Linked DNA regions of Pelodiscus sinensis. The protein of the gene in region 2 purifies or fractionates together with the protein of the main gene of each other region. This does not show direct contact. Links are inferred from orthologs where the notes say so. Each region holds a gene or a part of one and is shown on either strand. Other genes may lie near its edges.

Evidence for each region. The genes of interacting proteins can lie anywhere in the genome.
Region 1: the proteins of PSMA7 (region 2) and PSMG3 purify together in Homo sapiens (affinity purification with mass spectrometry; 3 studies listed by BioGRID and IntAct, with this or other methods). This does not show direct contact. The link is inferred for Pelodiscus sinensis from reciprocal best matches to the Homo sapiens genes PSMA7 and PSMG3.

Annotation. Positions count from the first base shown.
Region 1 is NC_134726.1:27,444,430-27,451,434, forward strand, and holds the start of PSMG3 (proteasome assembly chaperone 3), read right to left. Parts: upstream 3,021-7,005; 5' UTR 2,889-3,020; intron 2,715-2,888; exon of another isoform or gene 2,600-2,714; intron 2,390-2,599; exon of another isoform or gene 2,256-2,389; intron 1,402-2,255; 5' UTR 1,385-1,401; coding exon 1,169-1,384; intron 1-1,168. UniProt on the Homo sapiens protein: Chaperone protein which promotes assembly of the 20S proteasome. May cooperate with PSMG1-PSMG2 heterodimers to orchestrate the correct assembly of proteasomes.
Region 2 is NC_134728.1:9,376,110-9,383,784, reverse strand, and holds the start of PSMA7 (proteasome subunit alpha type-7), read right to left. Parts: upstream 3,052-7,675; 5' UTR 2,953-3,051; coding exon 2,857-2,952; intron 1-2,856. Other genes in the region: SS18L1 (calcium-responsive transactivator), read left to right, coding at 3,686-3,754.

The DNA of each region.
Region 1 (7,005 bases), on a different chromosome or scaffold from region 2:
TACAGGGTGATTTTATAGACTAATGTAATTTTTTTAAAAAGTGAAGCATTAGCAGGAAAGAAGGGATATAACCCCTTTTAATTAGGGCTTCTCTAAAAATATGCCTTTTGGCACATCCATCTTGCCACATATATTGATCTAAAGTTTATTTTTGTTTGAGTTTGTTTCAGAACTGATTTGCGGTTTTTGGCAGCATGCATCACCAAAAAAGGCTGGGCTGGAAGTATTTCCTCAAGGTTGTTTACATTAATTAACATATAATACAAAGAAGCAGACAATGGACACCTACGCAAGATCTGGGGAAATAATTTCTCCCATATGTAAACAGGAAGTGCCACTGATTAACATAAGTATCAGAAACTGAATATGCTTTTCTGTTCCATGTTGACAAGCGCACATCACACCAACGCTGTAACCATCCTGTCTACAGGCAGACACATCCCACATGAAGGAAAGAGAGCTTATTATTGAAGGGTGAGGGCTACACAAAGACCAGCTGCTAAGAGGATGAGCAACCTGTCACATTGCTGAGTTTGGTTTTTTTTCTGTTTGGGATTAGCAAGCAACACTAGATAGTTCTACTACAGCACTGTAAAACTAGGTAAACTTGCAGTATACTGTAACTTTGTATTTAGTGCCTATCTGATCCAAAATTTATTATTGTTTTCTCTTGTTTCTGAAAAATAGTAATTGAGAACTCATTTTAAATTAAAATGAATTGGATAACTGTCTTATCTAAGGAAACTGGTGGTAAGCACAGTTGAGGGAAGGGGTACCAAAGTTGATTTTGGAAGAGGTAAAAGTGGGGAGAAAAAGTGCTCGGATGGGGGAAAAATACTGTGACAAGCACTGGAGAAAGGATAGTGAAGGCCATTATGTTTGTTCCAGCACCACTGAAGTCAATGGGAATGGCAAAGCTCCATAAAAATAACCGAGTATGAAGTGACAGAACCCTTATACGCTTTCAGTGTAGATTTAATTAGACATTTGTTATGTTAAACATACCTTTAACATGAATACCCAAAATGTACTGATGAACTACACCCCTCTTAGTACAGGATTTTTTAATCTTACCACTGCACAACTGCACATCAGCTGCTTGGCAGCCCAAGCAGGCTCAAATTCTGAGCCAGTGAGAGATTCCCCCTCAATATTCAGGGCCACATACCTCATCCGTGCCCAGCAGCACTTTCGTGGTGAGTGACGGTTTGCTGATATCACTGGCTACTGTGCTGGGGTCCACAGAGACAAGCGTCCCCATCTTCCCATACTGCGTCACCACCACAAGAATGGAGTTGGAGAAGGCCGTGCATACCACCTCTGTTAGGATACCCCTCACCACCTCCTCCTTCTGCTTTGAAGTCACAATAGATTTTGCTGCCATGGCAGACGTCTTAAATGCTGAGTAAAATAATATACTAGTATTAGATATAAAACATTAACTAAGAGTCATAAAAAGGCTCAATATTTTAATTAAATTTAAAATATCAGTGTTGTTTTAATGGCATAAATATGCCCATAGATGTAAGCAACTGGTGCAGCTGTATATAAATAATCATGAACATGTGATGTCTGAGTGTATCTGACTCAGAAGTGAATTGACATTACCCTCTTTAGTAACTTAGGCTACACACACATGTTGCTATTTACAGGCTTTTATGCCATTCATAGTTTCACACTGCTTGAAACTGTTATTGTGTCACATGCAACAGATTATACAGTCCTACCAGTCCTGCATCCTGACGCCCAAAGGCCAGGTCTCCTGGATCCCACTAGAGCGGTGTTTCCCAATGTTATTTGGCCACGGAACCCTTTTAAACTCGAAAGAATTTTGCAGAACCCCTTACGTGATATATAACAGGCAACTGCACCACTGACTGTCTGGCACACAGTGCTGAGTAGTTATTGTAATGGAATTTTCTCGCGGAACCCATATTTTCACTTCCGCGGAACACCATTTGGGAAACACTGCACTAGAGCATGGTTTTGCTCCAGAGGACCCAAATCCAGAACCATTTTGCCCAACTTCCCAGCCCAAATGTCGAGGATTGGGATAAAACGGGGCTAGTAGAACCATCTGTCTTGTACTTAAGGGCACCCCTGAGTTGGCATCTGGCATTCCCAAGTCAGCGATTCCCATTTTGTAACCCAATATTTGTATCTTCCCCTACAAACTAAATCCAGGGGGAGGACTTTGGTGGATCACTTAGCGCCCCTCACACTCATTGCACGCCCCCAGTTGGCCACGGCCTTACCGTCAGGGGAGCAAACAAGATCCCAACTTCAGATTAGGCCCGGCTTTCGGTTGCCAACTTTCCCGACCGAACGGACCGGACGCCATTGCTGCAAAAGGTGCCCGGTCGGCAAAGTTGGCAGCCCTCGGATCCCCCCCCCCCCCCCATAAACCCACGCAGCAGGGCACGGGCAGGCTCAGAGTCACGCCACGAGCCCACCCCGCTGCAGCCCCCCGCCCGCAGGGGCTCGCCGGCAGCGGGAGCCGGGCCCAGGAAGCCGGGCGCTATAGCGCGGCCGGCAGGTAGGCGAGACCAGCCCGGGAGAAGGGGGCGAGCGAGAGCAGGGCCTGTCCGCCCGGCCTCACCCGGCAATGCCGCCGCGTCCTCCGCGCTCCTGCCCGCCGCGTCCGCTCTGCGCCGCCGCCGAGTCACTGAGCCCGCCCCGCATGGGCGTCCCCGCCCCCCGCGCTCCCTCCGGGCCCAGGGGAAACCCGGCGCCCCCGCCTCCGTCCCTGCACCCCTCAGGCTCCACTGAGCCGGGAGCCTCCTCTGCACCCTCAGAGCGGGGAGTTCTCCCTGCACGTCCGCGGGCCCCACGGGGAAGCCCGCCCCCCCTTCTGTTCCCACCGTATCCCCACAACCTCCTGGCCTCACCTAGTAGAGATGCCCCCTTTTCCCAAGCCTCTCCAGGCAAGGCGCCCCCCCGCTGGCGTTACCACGCTGGGTGTCCACCCCTGCACGGCTCTAGCCCCACCAAGCGGGGAACTCCTCCTGCATCTGGGCCCTTCTGAGCAGGGAGCTCCCAGTATCCTGTCCAGTCCCTCCTGCATCCTGGCCACAATGAGCATGGGATGCCCCCCCTCCAGGCCTGGCCCTACCCTGTGGGGATCCTAGCCCTGCACCCTGTTCCTTCCGGTATCATTCCTCTCTGGCCCCACAGAGTGGGGAAGATCTCCATGCACCCAGCTCACCCTGTCTCCCACATTTATCTCTCCCAACCTTGCAGAGAAGGAAATTCCCCTCCACACCCTACTTCCCACACGCCTGCTATCCCCATAGAATGGGAGACCCCTGCACTCCGCATACCCTCCAGGTTCCCTCAGAATCACACACTGGGGAAGTTCCCCCTATATCCAGCTTACCCCATTCTCCCTGGCCTCACTGAGTGGGAAATGCCCCTTTCAAACTCAACACACTTCATACCACTACAACCCTCCACACACTAGGGATATAAAAACATAGTAACCATGTAACCAATCAAAATTCTATTGATTGTACAGTTAAACATTTTACCTGGGGATGTAGGGAAGGAAGGGTGCTGGAAGGCTCCTGGCTGCTGGCTCCACAGGCTTCTGACTCCATAGTCTTCGGCGACTGGCCCCATGGGCTCCCTGCCCCACTGGTCTTGAGGACTTCCAGCCCCATGGATTCACCTTTGCTGGCCCTCAGCACTACTGGCTGCCAGCCTCATGGGCTGTCAGCCCTATGCTCCCTAGCAGAGTTTAACTGTTAACAGGAACAGATAAGCATCACCTTATTGGTTAACCAGTTAAACTCTTAGGGTATGTCTACACTACCCCACTAATTCGAACTAGCGGGGTAATGTAGTCATACCGCAATTGCAAATGAAGCCCGGGATTTGAAATTCCCGGGCTTCATTTGCAATTGTGGTATGCCTACAGTACCCCGCTAGTTCGAATTAGCGGGGTAGTGTAAACATACCCTCACATCCCTACCACACATACACTGAACTAGGTCAGCCCCTTTCCAGTCAGCTCCTTCCTTGCTCCCCCAAAACCAACACAGCATGGTAGACCTCTCCGTATTCAGCAAATGGGAGGAACCCTCGCAAACCTGACAGACCCATCTCTGGCTCTTGCCCAATCCGTATGAGAGAGGGTGGTGAGAAGGAAGAGGTCTCTATTAAGTCAACAGACTCAATCCCTCTGCAAAATAGGCATAGCGCCTTTTCAGTTTTTAGTATTGAAAGCATTCCCTCTAAGGCTTTGTCTACACTGGCGACTTCTTGCGCAAGAAGCCGCGAGTGTAGACATAGCCTAGAAGTGTGATAGGAACTGTCAGAGCCTGCTTTCTAGCCTGGCAAACTGGCATAGTTGCCCTGACCCAACTCTTGAAATGCTGATGTTCCTAGTCATTTAAACATCTCTAAAGTATTGGCTGTATAAACTCCAAGGGCATTCTGAAATGGCCTTGACTTCCTTTTGTGCCATCTTCTGCATGATTTAAATTCTTTAATTGTTCTCTTGTGTTTTTTCCATCTATTCACCAGCTAGAGCAAAGTTCATGCTGCAGAAGACTCATCCTCTGTCTCCAAAGAATCACAGCTTCCCATCTGTGACCAGAATGTGAAGGTCTTTGTGGAGAGATGGAGGTTGGGATAAGGTGAATCTTAGCCTCAAAGCAGAGCAGAGCAATTTGGCAATGGCTGGATTTCCTGTTTCCACATAGGGTTCTGAGCATCCCAGGCTTTTCTCTCAAATTTTAAAGGCACCTAAAATTTTAAAGGTATGATTAAAATTGGCAAACAAGAGAGAACTCAAAACCTGGCTTGTCACATTTGAGTGGAAGGGAATTTTGGTTGTAAGATGCATGCTCCATAGTGTTTTCATCCTTGACTGTTTCCTGTAGACTTGAATGAGTCATTGAGATCATGCTGGATGGTGGGGACTTTCTTTTGGCCATTAAACTCTTCGGGAATATTTTGATATATATGATGCTGGGCAGAGTGAAGGATCAGGCTGCAAATTGGATAAATCTTGCCTTTTCGTTTGTTATGGTGGACAGCATGGCTAATATTATTGTAATTTATTTGTAATATCATAGTACTTAAGGGTCAGTGTATGAACCTATAATGCAAACAGTTACATCCTTTTCAGTAGTCCCACATTTTTCTTCATGTGCCCTAATTCATGTTTCAATCAAAACTGTAAAGTAGCTTGTACAGAGTGGCAGAATATCCTAAAGGATACAAGATCACAAAGAAAAAACAGTTTCTTGCTATTTTAACCAGAAAGGACACTCTCTCAATGACTTAACCACCTGCATTCTGCTACAAAGACCTTTTACATCTGCACTTGAAAGGGAATCCTCTGAACTGTCATTCATGTTAAAATTCGACACTCTCCGAGAAGGAATGAACAAACACTCAAACTACCTTACCCATTACCAAGATAGCTTCCCCAATTATCACCTCTAATACCATTAGCTCACAAACATCCCCTCTCCCCACTTCTAATATCATCAATTCACAGACACTTACCTTCCTTCCTCCCCCCCCCCCCCCGCATCCCCCTCCTGTTCTGAAATGTGATTTGTCCTTTTCATGTGTGTTCATTTTTTTAATTGTATCCTTTGGTATATATGGTTGTGACTATTTTCTTCCACTATTTGATCTGAGGAAGTGGGTCTGGCCCATGAAAGCTCATCATCTAATAAACCATCTTGTTAGTCTTTAAAGTGCTACATTGTCCTGCATTTTGCTAAAGGATACAGCACTGGACTGGGTCTTTTTTTAGGCCTGATAGATGACCTTGGGCAACTTACTTCAACACTTTGTACCTTGGTTTCTTCATCTGCAAAATGGGGATATACGATTTAATTTTTGTAAAGGGCTTTGAGATCTACTGATGAAAAGCACTATGTAAGAATGGGAGTGTTTTTATTGATTGACAGCTACCACACACAGATTTCATGACAGAAGACAGCCATTCATTCGGGCTACGTCTACACTGGCAGCTTCTTCCGGAAAAACTCTTTTGCGGAAGAGTTCTTGTGCAAAAACTCTTCCAGAAGAGAGCGTCTGCACTGGCATGTGCTTTTGCGCAAGAGATGTGCTTTTGCGCAAGAGCATCCATGCCAGTGTAGACGCTCTCTTCCGCAAGAAAGCTCTGATGTCCATTTTAACCATAGGGGCTTCTTGCACAAGAAATTCATGTTGCCTGTCTACATTGCCCTCTTCTGGACGAGCTCTTGCGCAAGAGGGCTTATTCCTCGTGGGGAGAGGAATAACTCTTCCAGAAGAAGCCCTGTTTTACAACGCTATACTGTAAATTTACTTCTGGAAGAACACTCGTGCAGTGTAGACAGCCATCAAGTTTTTGTGGAAGAATGGCTGTTCATCCGGAAGAAGCTGCCAGTGTAGATGTAGCCTTGATGTTGAGAAAAGAAAAGAAAAGAAAAGAAAAGAAAAGAAAAGAAAAGAAAAGAAAAGAAAAGAAAAGAAAAGAAAAGAAAAGAAAAGAAAAGAAAAGAAAAGAAAAGAAATATTAAAAAGTTAATACATCTGTAATAACCATCTTAAAAACTTTAGTTTGTTTTTGTTTTTCCAAAATTCTTGACCTTTGCTCATCCCAGAGTAATATTTTTGGCCTAGATACATCCCTAAAAATATGATTTCTTAAAGAATATCCAGTGTAATACTAAATTATATAATGCTAAGTGTCTCCCAAACCTTTATTTCAATTTCCCCCTCACATCTTACCCTTCTACCACACAAACCACCCTTGACAACAAAGATTCTGAATTTTGGATCACCTGTCCAAACATTTGTAAAGACTTAGTGTTCTGAATTGTTTTTGCATGAAAAGTTTAACTGACTTTAAATGAAGTTAACTGCTAGTCATAGTGCTGCGAGTGCATTAATAAACCTCCAGAGGGCAACAGAGTTCCATGGAAAATCTCTGAACAAGACAGAACTGGGAGACTTGATACCTTATCATCACCCCTTCTTGTCATCTGGCAAATCCCGTTT
Region 2 (7,675 bases):
ATTTTAAAATATGATCCTATTTTCCAAAGCACTTGCAACATCTCCCAGCTTGGTATCATCTGGACATTTCAACTGATCCCTGCAAACCCCCACTTGGTGTGCCCTTCCAACATAACTATTCTGAGAATAGTTATCCAAGCTGTTATGCATCCATCTTACAACGTAGATGAGACTACTGTATTTCCCTAGTTTACTGATAAGACCACCTACATACCAGGAAGTATAAAAACAGGCACATATACCAGCAAGTGCGGGGCTTTATCATAAGTATGCCACAGAATAATTCTCTCTAGGCATATATTAGTGCTTGTAACATAGTTGAACTTTAAACTTAATTCCAAGCTGAATACTTATTATGGTACTAAGTCAAAGCCAAATCAAACTGTTTAATAGTCCATAGTCCTAAGCATAAATGTAGCCCACCCATTCATTGCTTCCTCTGAATATCAACTTTCAGATCATCCTATACACTCCTTCCCTCACCTCGCCTTTCCTGAAGTTAAGAAAACAGCTTTAAAAAAAATCATAGTCCCACTGCTTTTCATATATAGGACTGGAAAATGTGGTTCTTCCTTGGCAGTTTGATTTATGATGTTCCAGCAGTTGTTCCAACTTACCATATTAGCCAAGATTACATTAGACACTTCCACATTCTCATTACTTTTTAAAATTCTCCCTTGGGTTTGAAATTTGTTATGGTTATCCCAAAGGCAAATATTTTAGAAAGTGATCAAGATTTTCCAGCTGTTATGTTACTGGGGAGTTAAAAAGAGATGCAGTTTTTCAGCATTGTCATTTGTTAAACAATAACCCACAAAGTTGGAAAAACTACATTAAGTAATTAACTTCAGAGGGGTAGCCGAGTTAGTCTGTAACAGGAAAAACTTAAAAAAAAACAACAAATAGTCTGGTAGTACTTTAAAGACTAACAAAACATGTAGATGATATCATGAGCTTGTGTGGGCACAGCCATCTGAAGAAGTGGTCTGTGCCCACAAAAGCTCATTTTATTAGTCTTTAAAGAGCTACCAGACTATATGTTGTTTTTAAAGTTTTTATTAAGTAAGTAAACACTCACTTCTGTACACTCAGAGGGGACATTTTACACTTAAGTCACTACTGCCCTGCATTTTGTGAAGTGAAATAGCTCCACAAGTTTCAGGTCTCTGGTGAATCAGGTCATCAATTTTTTTCTACTTCTGTCACCCTGAAAAATTTTAAACACACCTCCTTCCCCAGATGTAATCTCCTCCCCCCCCCCCCCATTTAGTTTTGCAGAAAATTGTGTGTAGCCAAAAAGACAATGCAGGAACTGTTAGAACTCATTTCTCCACATCCCATTTGCCTCAATGACTTTTAATTATCTACAAGTTTATAGCCATATTACTGCCAACTACAACTATTCAAGAAGAGCCCTAGTGTATTTAAAATAGGTTTGGCATCAAATAATTTTTTAAATGCAGATTATCTACTTTTCCAAAAAAGCCCAAATTTTTAATGCACCTGTAAAATGCCAAACATATATTACTGTATAGGTTACTATTATGCACCGAGGCAAAATCAAACACATTTGGGACTCATTTTAGAAGAAATTTTAGAAATATCTCTTTTCTATAATTTCCAGTTTGTAAACAGATATCACCACAAATTTGGATTCTCCCGATTTTACAATGACTGTCTATGCTACTTGAAAGTAGGTATTATCTCCATCTTAGAAATAAGGAAATGGAGTCAGGGATATAAAGTTGTATGCTGCAAGCCCCATGGCAAGTGAGCAGCACAGAAACAATTAATGAGACCATGCTCTAAAGTGTCCCTACCCTTTGTTTGCAGGAAACTGGGAATGGGTGCCAAAATATGGATCACATGAGGATTATCTGTTCATTCACTCTGAAGCATCTCATTGGCCACAGTCAGAAGACAAGACACTAGCCTACATGGACCATTGCTCTGACCTAGAATGGCTATTACATTTTACATTTTTGGTCTTAGAGGTAGGGAGCTATCTTCTAATACCATAGAGGTGTAGCTGTGTTAATCTGTAACTTTAAAAACGAATAGCCCCCCACTATAGAAAGGATGTGGGCACATTGGAGAGGGTCCAGGGGAGGCCAATCAACATGATTTGGGGGCTGGACCACATCACCTACGAGGAGAGGCTGAGGGATTTGGGTTTGTGTAGCCTGCAGAAGAGACGATTGAGGGGGAATTTGATAGCAGCCTTCACCTTTCTGACAGGAGGTTCCAAAGAGAATGAAGAGAGGCTGTTCTCAATAGTGAGAACAAGGAGCAATGGTCTCAAGTTACAGTAGAGGAGGTCTAGGCTGGATATTAGGAAAAAACTATTTCACTAGAGGATGGTGAAGCACTGGAAAGGGTTGCCTATGGAAGTGGTGGAAGTGGTGGAATCTCCGTCCTTAGAGGTCTCTTCCATCCCTAGGATTCTAGTTCTGTGTCACCTCAGAGACTAATCAAAATATACAGAGTCGTGAGCTTTTATGGGCAAAACCCACTTCATCACATGATCAGTTAAGCTGTGGGGTCTTCCCAAGACAAGGGGGTCGGTTCTGGCTCACTGCCAGGGGTGCTCCCTCCTCAGGTACCCCCCCCCCCCCAGCAACTCTCCACAGGCCCCTCCTCTGCTGTCCCCAGCCTCTCCCACTTCCCCAGGCACGCGCCCACCTGTCCACAGGCCCCTTCCCCCACCCGTCCACAGGCCTCCTGCCCCAGCCCTTCCCCACCTGCCCCGGCCCCTTCTCCCCAGCTCCCTCTCCGGCCCCTCCCCCCACCGCCCTCGCCTCAGGAGCGGCGGCCATTCCCTGCGGCGCGCGCGGCCCGCGCCCGGCGCTCACTCACCGCGGTGGAGCCCTTCTTCACCGCCTCCTGCGCGTACTCCACCTGGAAGAGGTGGCCGTCGGGCGAGAAGACGGTGATGGCCCGGTCGTAGCTCATGGCTCCGCCGCTCTGCCGGGGCCCAGCGACCTGCACGCACCGGAACCCGCCGCCTCCCTCAGAACTGCACACTCATCCCCCGCCCTGCGCCGCTTCCGGAGCCTTGCCATTCACAGCGCACGCCGAAGGCAGCCCTTACGCCAAATGTGTAGGTGGGTCTTCATCCTGACGTACGCATTGGGCCAGAGAATCGCAGGCCACCCGGAACGCCAGGCAGCTTATCTACGCCTTTGGCGTACCAAGCTGTTGCCTGCCTTCCGTACGCATTTAGCGTAGGCACGGTAGCGTATCACGGTGTCTGTTTCCACACGCGCTTGGCGTAGCTCTCTTCTTTGCCTACGCCTTTGACGCACTGGGCCGCTCTTGGCAAAGGCAGAAAGATGCTGTTCGCCTGCGACAGGAAACCCAGCAGCAGGGATGCACCATGTGCAGATCAAAGGGGAGGTGGGGAAGGAGGGGAGGACCACTCCGTTGGCTTTATCCCTCCTCCCCAAATCTCAGCAGCTGGCTCCCCACCTTGCATTGGGATCAGAGGCATCAGGGCGAGGGTGGTGCATGCAGGCTCTTGGTGCAGTGCCCCTGGCTCGTTGCAGGGCACAGATTGTACCATCTGCGCCGGCTCCCCTCCCCATGCACTGCGGAGAATCTTTGCACAGCAATAGCAGCCAGATAATAACAATATTATTAGAGCCTAGGAGCAATATATTATAGACACATTTAAAAAAAACCCACCATGTCGGTTGCCTTTGCTTCTGCTCGCCCGAGAGGCAAAGGGGAGGTCACCCAGCAAACTATCCAGAAGGTAAAAAGCATGCTTTTATACCGACAAGAAATGTTATTTGTATATTCCTTCTATGGTGCTGTGGCTGGGAAGATGGCTTAATTCTAAAGTAATCATGAAAACTAGTGAATTTACAAGGGTTGGGAAGATGGACAGCTGGAGGGAGGAGGAGGAGGAGGTGGAACAAAGCAAAGGTGTTCAGAACACTGCAAAGAGAGGGAGAGGGAGAAGGAAAGCTCCAGAGAAGGATCCGCAGAATAGAAAATTCACTGCTCACTGTCTTACGTGTTTGTAAAGAACAAAATGCCAGGGATACATTTCAAAATTGTAAGCTGGGATCTGCACATTTTGGACAGCATATCAGCCCTTAACAAATGGTTGCAGGATTTTAATCTTTTAAAATATGGAAAGAGATGCTGAAGTGTGGCAATAAAGGTGCTCATAGCTATCTCCAAAGGTGTTTTTTTTTTAAAAAAAGGAATTGTAGTTGTTCGTGTATAATGTTTAACAGGCAAATGTTTTACATTGAAAGGATTTTCTCTGAAGACTCAGCTGGCCTGGGTTTTGTCTGAAGGCCAAAGCTGAGTTTGGAAGTTATGATGGGTATTTGTAAGAAAATAAGAGAAGGGTGGGGAGATACATACTTGCCCTCACTCCCCTACTATCCTCCTGGAGTGAGATACCTGTAGATAACTGTAAATAATGGAAGAGGTGTGGAGATGTCAATAAGCAACGCATCTATGCCCTTGATCTGTTTTACTTAGTACCTGTAATTTCTAGTTCCGCTGCATATTTTATGTCATGTTTGCTCTGCCTTAGAAATTCTCGCTATCCAGGAGTTTGTCTAGTCAGTGCAGTGGAACTAAGGAATAAAGGTCTAATATGGCCCGTTTGTAAATTATAATGGAGAACACAAATAGCAGGGATGGGGAACCTCAGGCCCAGGGTCTGGATGCCGGCCCCTGGCTTGCCTAGATCCGGCCCCTGACACTGAGGGTTCCCCTCCTAGCACTGGGGAGCCTGTGCCTACTGAAGGACTGAAGCACACCAAATCTACTACCTGGGCTCCACTAGGCTCTGGTATGTGAAGGGAATGTGAGGAGTGTCTTTGTCCTTCTCAGTCAGGGGCCATGTCAGTGAGGGTTTGGGGGTTTTTTGGGTTTCCCACTTGTGTGCGGCCCCGACTGATCTTCCTGTGGGTCAGCAGCCCCCAACCCAAAAAACGTTCCCCACCCTGACATACATGCACAAAAGGTGTCAGTGGTAAGAGAGTAATCAGTTGCTCATCAGCATTTCTTCCAGAGTGAAGCCATTATCTATTACCAGTTTTATGAATTATATGGGAATTTATCTAAAGGGAGGATATGATCAAACTAAAGAAGAATTAAGGCATGACAAACAACCTTCAAGAGAGTTAAGAGCCTGATGTACATCTGTAAATACTAGAAAAGTCAATCTGCAATTCATCCTCTTGTGTCTTGGTCTTGCAGCACATGTGGTATTGTGGTCATACCCATTTACTTTTAAATGCTGAAATATTTAGGCACCCGTAGTTAAGGATGGAATTATATCCTTAACTTTGGATGTTTGTGTATTTCATATAGACTTTCAAAATTCATTTCATGTAGTCTTTTAAAATCACTTTTGATTAATTTCCATTAAAAAGAACAGTAAAATAATGTTCTTAATTCTCTCAATTTTCAAGACACTGAACTGAAAAGAACTGAAATCTTGAACTGAAAAGAACTGAAATCTGTTTCTGTGCAAATATAAAAATATTTCCTCTATTAGGTACATTTGGTGACTTGTTATTTTAGGATTTCTTATGAATGCTGAGCTGTTGAAGTGTTCATGAACATAAATGGAAATTTTTGTCTGCAAACAAGTACATAACTCAGTGAGCTTTGTAATCATAGATCAGAAGTTGGGCTCAAAACTAATTGTGGGACACTTACTTTGGAAATCCACAACTGTGTTCTCTTTAGGAGCCAAAACTGTATATCAGTTAATTAAAAAAAATTCACAAAAATGCATAATTTTTACTTGTATATTTAAATACACACACAACTAATTTTCATTACAGGCAGTCCCCGTACGCGGATCCGACTTATGTCAGATCTGCAGTTACGAACGGGGTTTGCTCCGCGTCTCCCTGGTGTGCTGGAGACCAGCAGACCAGGGAGACGGGGAGCAAAGCCTCTGAGGACGCCGGCAGCGGGACAGCCGCGGCGCGTCTGGGCTGTCCGCTGCCCGCGTGCTCCCCGGCTTTGCTCCCCGGCTTTGCTCCCCGTCTCCCTGGTCTGCTGGTCTCCAGCAGACCAGGGAGACGCGGAGCAAAGCCGCAGAGGACCCGGGTGGCGGGACCGCGGTGCGTCTCAGTCCGCCGCCCGCATCTCCCTGGTCTGCTGGGGGGGGGGGGGAGGGGGCGCAGCTAGTACGCCCCCCCCCTCCCAGCAGACCAGGCTTTTCTCCGGACGCCTGTGGTAGAGCAGCTGGGGCGCTGCCGGTTGGTACCGCAGCGCCGCTCTGGGTGCTACTGGACCAACCCAGCAGCACCCCCACTGCTCTGCCCCAGGCGTCCTGATTCAGCCGCTGCTGGTCAGTTTCAGCAGCGGCTGAATCAGGACGCCTGGGGCAGAGCAGCAGGGGTGCTGCTGGGTTGGTCCAGTAGCGCCGAGGAGCGGCACTACTGGAGCAACCCAGCAGCACCGCAGCTGCTCTGCCCCAGGCGTCCCCAAGTCAGACGCTGCTGAAACTGACCAGCGCTGACTACAGGAAGCCCGAGGCAGTGTTGCTCTGCCCCGGGCTTCCTGGAATCAGCCGCTGATCAGTTTCAGCAGCAGCTGACTTGGGGACGCCTGGGTTTCTTAAGTTGAATCTGTATGGAACTGGCATCCAGATTCAGCCTGTTGAAACTGATCAGAGGCTGATTCCAGGAAGCCCGGGGCAGAGCAACTCTGCTTCGGGCTTCCTGTAGTCAGCCGCTGGTCAGTTTCAGCAGCGGCTGAATCTGGACGCCAGTTCCGACTTACATACAGATTCAACTTAAGAACAAACCTACAGTCCCTATCTTGTACGTAACCCGGGGACTACCTGTATACATGTTACTAACTCAATTTCAACGGTTTCCTCAAAGCCTTTACTATTCCAATACTACATTATTTACACACAACTTCCCTTGAAGAAAGTGTGAGATTTTGAACCTCTAGGATTGCAGAATTGGCAATTGTGTACTTATCATTAGCTCATGTGCAGGACATGGCATTGGTGTTGACCTTATATGTACTCCCGTGCCAGTGACTAGAACCTTGTCCTTTTTTAACATAGTATCAGGATACCAGAACTATTCCCTGTTCTTTTTGCAATGAACAAAATCCAAAGAGCCCTTCTATTAGTGCAGCAACCTTTTGCATTGACATCAAAGTGCCAGTACTGGTTATGAACACACATCCAAAAGTGAGACTTGATCTCTAAGCCTGCTTTCTTAGATCAGCTGAGACATTTATTAGTGATACTTTAAAAAATTTTCTAGAAGTTTATAAAATAATGAATGCTTTTCAACAAGTTACCATTTCCATTCTGTTCTGCAGAGCTCTGTTCTCTGTTTTCTACCAATTCTGCCCTGGGAATTTCTGTTGGTATCATAAATGCACAATATGAAACTAAGAGCTTCACGGTGAATCTGACAGGAGTATTTTGTTCTTAAAGATTAAGAACATAAGAATGGCCGTATTGGGTCAGACCAAAGGTCCATCTAGCCCCGTAGCCTGTCTGCTGACAGTGGCCAGCACCAGGTGCCCTGCAGGGGGTGGACCGAAGACAATAATCAAGCGATTTGTCTCCTGTCATCCTTCTCCTGCCTCTGACAAACAGAGGCCAGGGATACCATTTCTATCCCCTGGCTAATAGCCTTTTGTGGACCTAACCTCCATGAAATTATCT